Nothobranchius furzeri: one gene and its partner. The main gene of each other region encodes a partner of the protein of the gene in region 2 in a complex. Links are inferred from orthologs where the notes say so. Each region holds a gene or a part of one and is shown on either strand. Other genes may lie near its edges.

Region 1 (3,319 bases), on a different chromosome or scaffold from region 2:
AGGTTAGAAGCTCGGTTATCCGGGAGGGGCTTGGAGTAGACCCACTGCTCCTCCACATCGAGAGGAGCCAGTTGAGGTGGCTTGGCATCTGGTCAGAATGCCTCCTGGATGCCTCCCTGGTGAGATTTTCCAGTCACGTCCAACTGGGAGGAGATCTAAAGGGAATACCCAGGACACATTGGAAGGACTATGTCTCTTGGCTGGCCAAGGAACACCTTGGGATTCCCCTGGAGCAGCTGGCCCAAGTAGCTGGGAAGAGGGAAGTCTGGGCCTCTCGGCTTAGGCTGGTTCCCCCGCGATCCGACCACGGATAAGCGGTTGAAAATTGATGTATGGATGTATTTGAATCCCATCCACCAGTCTTCCTGGGGCTTAATGTACCCTGTGCACTGTGGGAGGGTTCAAGACTAGATTTTGTAGTCTAAATAATATATTCATTTGGATATACAATAGGTTAGGTAATAGGAGAAATACATTTAGATGTTTAATGTATCCCTCCAGATGGTCAGACAAGAACATATTTGCTTGTCCAAACAGAATTAAACCGTAATTGTCCAAAAAAGTTCCAAACAAGATATTTTAATCCTTATATTGTGTTAAATATTCCTAGTTTCTGTAACCTCACTTTAGGTTAACATTAGGAGAAACTAATTACCTATGTAGAAAATGTTTACAGTTCTTGTGAACACATAACATGCATTAAAAAAGACATTACTGCACTCTGAAGTTGGTTAAAAAATGCCCCCCCCCCCCCCCCCCCAAAAAAAAACCCACACCAAACATTACTGGTTTTAAAATCCACACCAAATGACGTTTTTACAATTATTCTTAAATTTACCTGGATCAAAACTTGGCGCAGTCCATTTGACAGCAAAATAAGCTACAGAAATGCTCCCTATCAGGATTTTTGCAAATGGTCCCATGTGTGTAAACTCGCTATAAGTCTCAGAAAACTTCCTAGCTGTGTTATAAAAGTCTGCCTTCACTTTCATGATGTGAAGGAGGTGCCATTTATGTAACATCCCCCCTCTCTCTCTCACTCACTCACTCACTCTCTCTATTTTGCGCTTCTCCCGAGATCAAATTATAACATATTTAAATATGTAACATTTCTTATAGTAACTTAAAAAGAACATTTATATTTAACCTGCACACCATTTTTATTTTCATTTTGCTTACATACAATTTTACAAAAGGAATAAAGTGGGATAGAAAAGAACGAATCTGCCGCTGAGAAAAAAGCGTTGGGGTTTCAAAAAACAACTTTATTGACAAAAACAGAGCTAACGCTGCAATGTCCTTCAGTGCAGCCCTATGTCGATGGTGCAGCCTAGCGGTGAAGTTAGATTCGCTGTTTGGAGTCTTGGTAAAAACAGCTTATAAAGAGAAGTTACACAGCTGTGGACCATGGCGGCAAGGATTTTGCCTTTACTCAAGTTCGTATATTTTAATTCACTGTTAAGTTTCGTTTAAGTTTTAGTGGTAAGTGACCTGAATGCTTGATTAGCTTGTGAGCTAGCATGCTACGGCATTTATCCGTTTACTGTATTGAGATTTCAAGCTGTTATTTTCCGATACTTTACTAACTAAATTGTCGCCGAGGATCCAATCAAATATTGCTTCATATGCGATTTTTCATGAATGTTTTGTTGAGTTGCTGATATTGCTTGATCAACGCAGAATTTAAGATCTCCCTGCTTTATTACTTAATAAGCAATGTTTTAATTTTAAGGTGGTGCTTTTGAGTGTGGTAAATGTTACGTGGCTGGGTGGTTTTGGCTTACGGTGTGGCTGATCTTTCATTTGCAGACTGGCCACCAAGGTGACCATTGCAGGAGGCGCTGTTTACGTCGCCTGTGACTCGGGTCTGCTGGGAACCAGCGAACAGGGCTCAGAGGCTCTGGAGAAGGCCAGAGCTGCTATACCACCCGCCATCGAGGAATGGATGAAGTATTTTGGTCTGGAGGTAGAGATGAAATTACACTTTTAGGCGATCACACACATTTTGACATGTTTAAACTGTAGAAACTGAATTCCAGCTACAGCCTCTGCACAAGACTTTGTGGGCGATGCATCATATGTGAAATTAAGCCTTATGTTTAATTGTGTACATCATTTTTTTCTTCTTTCCTCTGTTCCTAGGCTCAGGTTCCAGCCATACCTAAAATTGAAATTTCCCCTGTTGAAGCATGGAATTCTGGTAAGAACCTAGTAAGAATAAGAATACCTTTATTAGTCCCTCAGAGGGTTAATTGCAATATTGCAATGGCTCAGGTACAGCAGGACTTTTTCTTTAATAAAGTGAATTTACCAACAAAAACCTTAGAATATTATCCAGTTTCAGTGATCATTTCATTTGGAATCAAGTATTCTTTAACAACAGTTATTTCTTCTATCACAGGGGTGCGGTGGACAATTTCAAGCCTCTCAGAGGCTCCAACTAAAGCATCTGAATACGCAAGTCAGGGAGTGCAGTACGCAAAAGACCTCATCAAATGAACAAGAACTTTCTGAGTAACCTCATTTATCTATTCACTTGACTTTTGCACTTGTAAATCCTTAAGTCGTCCCCTTTCCTGAACAAAACAGCTTATTTAAATTCAGCTGCAAAAGAGATCTCGGCTGTTTTGTTGAGAGTTGTTGGAAGGATACTGTACATAAAGCAGAACTTTGGTTTATTTCAGTTGTCCAGTAGAGTTGGATACCACCCAGATGTCAAACTGTCCAAAATAATGTAAAAAAAAGTTAATTTCTGCTGTGTGTGTGTATGTATGTATGCGTGCAATCTCACTATTTGCAATAAAATCATTCTGAAAACATTCTCAGGCTTGTTTGGTTTATTTAGTTAAACTTAATTTACAGTGTGCTGATTATAGCTGTGTTCAAAGTGAAGAACCAAACTAATGTGCAAAAATGTTTATTACAACAGAATATTATGACATGGGCAGTCAGTCTGCTACAATTTTGGAACAAGGAGCGAAAATGGAAGCATGAAGTATTTTTGACAAAAGCACAACTAGCAATGACGCTCAGTGTTAACCTTTGTTTTGAATGCATGTACAGAATTGTTTCTAGCACATCAAACATTTTCAAAACCTTCAGGCACTGTTAAGGTGATAAAATAACATAAACAAAATGTTTTCTCAAAGATGCAATAAATTAAAAGATTGTGAGGTCAACACACATTTAGCATCAACTGGAAAAAGAGCTTTTTGTAAGACAACTTACTACAAATTTGTTAGCTCATCAGATTGTGAAAATACATTTAGTTCTTAATTATAGGTGTCTTAATGATTTGTTCACAAGAGACTCAGATTTT
Region 2 (3,954 bases):
GGTTCTGAATCTGCTTGTTCTGTGTTGTTCAGGATCAAGACTACCTGGGGACCCCAGTTAAAGTCCAGAGGACAGAGAGCCCAGGGGGGCCTGACATGGTGTAGCTCATGGTTGGGGTTCCTGCTGAACTCCACCTGCATCTAGGAAGTGTGTTCTGGAGTCGTTTGGGTTCAAATATTTGTTTTTAGTCCGTAAAAAGGACACTTTTAACTTGGACATCTGCTCAGGGAGATCACTCCACCACCAGGTTTATAATTCCAGCTTTGACCCGTCAGGAGACTGCTGGGATGAGCCCCTGTTGTCCTCGTCTGTTTGTGTCCCGGTGGGGAGACGTCGCATCGACCTGAGTCCAGGAGTTATTTAAGGAGGAGCGACGGCGGACGGCTTGTAGAATATTTTGTAGAGCTCTGATTTGACTGTTGAGCCGGACAGTTTTACGTTTGCTGTTATGAACTACGTGTAATTTTAATATGTCCTTATTACAACTGTTTGTTTGTTTGCTTTTGATGAAGACATGAAAATAAAAAGAACAACCTCGTTACTGGTTCTGACTGGTGCCTGAAATCCTTGAGAAGGTCCGAGTTTTTATGGAATAAAGTACTTGGGAGGCATTCAGGTGGAAGTGAGTACGGGACGAGTTTGTTCTTGTGTACGTGTCGGCACTAGGAAACATGCTGGAACCAGTGTGTTTGGTGAAGGAGCTCACGATGGACCAGGTGGAGAACATCAATGAAACTTCATTTGCTCTCTGAAGACCACGGAATCGATCAAGGAGTGGAGGGGAACGTGTGAAAACTGGATCAGAAATTGTGACCCGGCATTCCCCTCCTGGGAATAGTTGAACGGAGAGCTAGAGAAGGTTCTGCTCCTACGGAGACCTCCACAGCCGAGCCGTGCCTGATGGCGGGAGTCGAGTGAGAATGAGAAGTCAGCAAGTGATGACTAGAAGCTGATGGACGGGACCGGTGGCAGTTGGACCTGTTTTTACTCTAATCGGGTGCGATGCGGGCCGGACCACAGTGTGGACCTTCACCATCTACTGCCAGGAGGAAGACCACCCGAGGACCGACAGGTAAAGAGGAGAGAACGTCCGCGTGGATGGAGCCATACTCCCCACCAGCAGGTGGCGCTGAAGACGGGTTGCTTTTCCACCCGGAAGTGAAGCCTGGCAGCGGGAGGAGGTTCCGGTCCGGTTCTGGTTTGTGTCCGCTGAGCGACTGTGTGAAGGAAAGTTGTCGTGGTGCCACCGCCGAACCCGCTTTGGACTCGGACCGTTGAAGCGAGGACCATGCTTGGAGTGTGCCTGCGAGGAGCCCACGCCACGGTCCGGGTAAGAGCCGAACCCGTCCTGTTAGCAGCTAGCATGGTGGGGTCATCCGGTGACCCAGCTCAAGGTTCCACGGTTCTCAGGGTTGAACAGAACCAGTTTTGTGCCAGGACATCCGGTCCAGTTTGGCGTCTCTGGTTAGCCCGCGGTTAGGCTTTGTTTACATTCCCTCCGGTACCGGTAAGGATTAGGGTCCGAACCCTAACGAGCACCTCTCAGGTGACCTGTGTGTTCAGAGATTTGATGTTTACAGGTGAGTTTAGTTGGAGGTGACGTCACAACCGTAGATGCTGCCTTCACTGTACCTGGGACATTGTGTGTTTCAGAAGAACTGTGTGAGAAGTCCTCTGACTCCGCTGCAGTCCTACAGGTGCTACTCCACCAGCAGGAGCAGGTAACTGACCCCTCAGGTGAGGTAAGGACACACCTCACAGGTAAAAACCTAACCGTCTGCCCCTCCCCATCACAGCGGCGCCTCCAGAGTGGTTGCTCTCGGCTTGGTGACGGTAGGCGGAGGCGTGGGAGGGACACTGCTCTACTCCAAATGGGACCCCAAGTTCAGAGCAGCTGTGGAGAAGAATGTCCCGTACTCTGATTGGCTGCTGGGCCTGGCTCTGGGACCAGCTCCTGAGGATGCCCGTCTCCCTGTGAGGAAACAGGTGAGGAGCGGAGGTGAACACCTGTTCACACGCAAAGTCCAGTTCCTGTCACCTGTTAAGGTTTTCCTGTGAAGTCCACCTGAGCTAAAGAAGGGGGCGGGGCTTGTTGTTTAGAGCGACGGCTCTCATCATTTGTGCTGATTTTGTCTTCGCTGTCTGGCGTGCCGCCACCAGAAGGCGCGGTTTAGGTGTTCCCTGAGCTGCTGCCACAAACTAGGGATTGTGATGAAAATGGAAGATCATCTCATGGTCACATGACGTGGCAGCTGTACCGTGACAAAATTCACTTTCGTCTCCCAGCAGAGGAAGTTTGGATTTAAGTAAACCATTTGAGCGTGTCGATGGACTTGGGGCTCAGGGATGATCTTGTAGGAGCTGGATTAGACTACGCTGCTAAGTTGTTTCGACGTGTTGTGGCTCAGTAGTTAGGAACAATAACATTATTTTTTTTATTATCTCTAATGGTTTCTGTTCAGGTGGAGTTGAACCAGCCACCCTCCATGTTGGATAAACCAAAAACGGATCCCAAAGCCAAGTCCCAGAAGAGTGTGAAGGAGGCAGCAGAGGCAAGTGGCCCAGAGTCCAGTCTGGTCCCACCACCGCCAGCTCAGAGCATACAGGGTAGGAGGTTCTCACCGTTTCTCAGCCGCTCCTGCAGAAGCTACCACAGATTAGCCGCTGAAGGAGAGCCAGCTGTGGAGCGCAATGAGCTTCATTTGGTGTTGCGTTTGGGCCAAGCGGAGTGAATAAACGCATACGAGATTTGATTATGGCGACGTTAAAACACGACAACAGGCTGGTTGGACTTCATGAATTACCTTGTAGATTTAAAACTACGCTGCCTAAAAGATGCTGCTTGTTCACAAGTGGTCAGAATAGCTGGTGTTGGGATCATTCTGGAAGTGACGAGTGTCAGGTAGTCTGAGGAGCCTGATGCTTGTTGGAATAATAATCCTCATTGTTAGTGATTCTGATCCACAGGTAGGATATGAGCTAGATGATTTAGATGATGAAAGAGTTTAGAGAGCGGTGCAGACCCTAAAGGACTCGTTGGTGACGGGAACAGACAGCAGGGTTGGTTCCAGGGTCAGACGGTGGATGAGCCGGAGACGAGGACAGAAATGGTAGAGAAGAGTAGTGCAGAACATGTGTGAGACAGCGGGGGGGGGGCACATGGGCGGTCAGTGACCTGTGATGTCAGGAGGTTATCTCTGAGCATGTGGGCGGGGCAAAAGAGCGCGGTGTAGGGTTGCAACAAACGATTATTTGGGTCATCGATTCGATTAATCAGATTAAACGGGAACATTTAACAATGGAACTTGATTAGATAACAGCTCAGTGGCGTTCAAAACAACACGCTGTCACCTAAATGTATCCTTAGTTAAAATTTAATTAGCATTTTCAGTAGCTAGCTACTGGAAACGCTAATAACATTTACTTTCTACTGCTAACATGTAATGGTGACACATGTACGGGTTGGCACTAATCCAGTTTAAATTGCGTTCACGGATAGATGCGTTTGTGAATTACATGCTACGGTGGCTTGCCATAACCCCGCAGCGGAGCAGACTCAAAGCAGCAACCAGAGGTTCTGCTCCCTGGTGCTGCAGAAAGCTAACAATAAACAGGATGGCGGGGACTTTTCTTCCGCTGGTAGAGTTTAGATGTTCTTAGTTTCACGACCATCGTGTTTATTTGGAACTTCCATTTTATTTATGAAGCAGATTCCCACACGGCCGAGGCCAACCACAGTGCTGCACAGTAAAAGAGCATAAAAATCCACACACGGGAAGAAAGTAATAAAAGTAGTACAGTGACTACTATAAAATCAATAAAAATAAAACAGAGACATGGTACAATGCTAACTCGGCTGAAGTAAAAGCCACGGAATAAAAATGAGTCTTCAGGCGTGATTTTAAATCGGAGAGAGAGGGGGCCATTCTCACTGCTAGAGGGAGTTGATTCCAG

What was found.
Region 1: immt (region 2) and micos13 share a complex: the UniProt entries of both Homo sapiens proteins name them as parts of the mitochondrial contact site and cristae organizing system (MICOS) complex. The link is inferred for Nothobranchius furzeri from reciprocal best matches to the Homo sapiens genes IMMT and MICOS13.

The regions. Positions count from the first base shown.
Region 1 is NC_091748.1:50,418,328-50,421,646, reverse strand, and holds micos13 (MICOS complex subunit MIC13), read left to right. Parts: upstream 1-1,276; 5' UTR 1,277-1,407; coding exon 1,408-1,436; intron 1,437-1,809; coding exon 1,810-1,966; intron 1,967-2,142; coding exon 2,143-2,200; intron 2,201-2,401; coding exon 2,402-2,499; 3' UTR 2,500-2,819; downstream 2,820-3,319. Other genes in the region: hsd11b1la (hydroxysteroid 11-beta-dehydrogenase 1-like protein), read right to left, coding at 839-992. UniProt on the Homo sapiens protein: Component of the MICOS complex, a large protein complex of the mitochondrial inner membrane that plays crucial roles in the maintenance of crista junctions, inner membrane architecture, and formation of contact sites to the outer membrane.
Region 2 is NC_091741.1:108,909,462-108,913,415, forward strand, and holds the start of immt (MICOS complex subunit MIC60), read left to right. Parts: upstream 1-1,154; 5' UTR 1,155-1,288; coding exon 1,289-1,330; intron 1,331-1,653; coding exon 1,654-1,721; intron 1,722-1,796; coding exon 1,797-1,986; intron 1,987-2,462; coding exon 2,463-2,607; intron 2,608-3,954. Other genes in the region: slbp (histone RNA hairpin-binding protein), read left to right, coding at 33-104. UniProt on the Homo sapiens protein: Component of the MICOS complex, a large protein complex of the mitochondrial inner membrane that plays crucial roles in the maintenance of crista junctions, inner membrane architecture, and formation of contact sites to the outer membrane.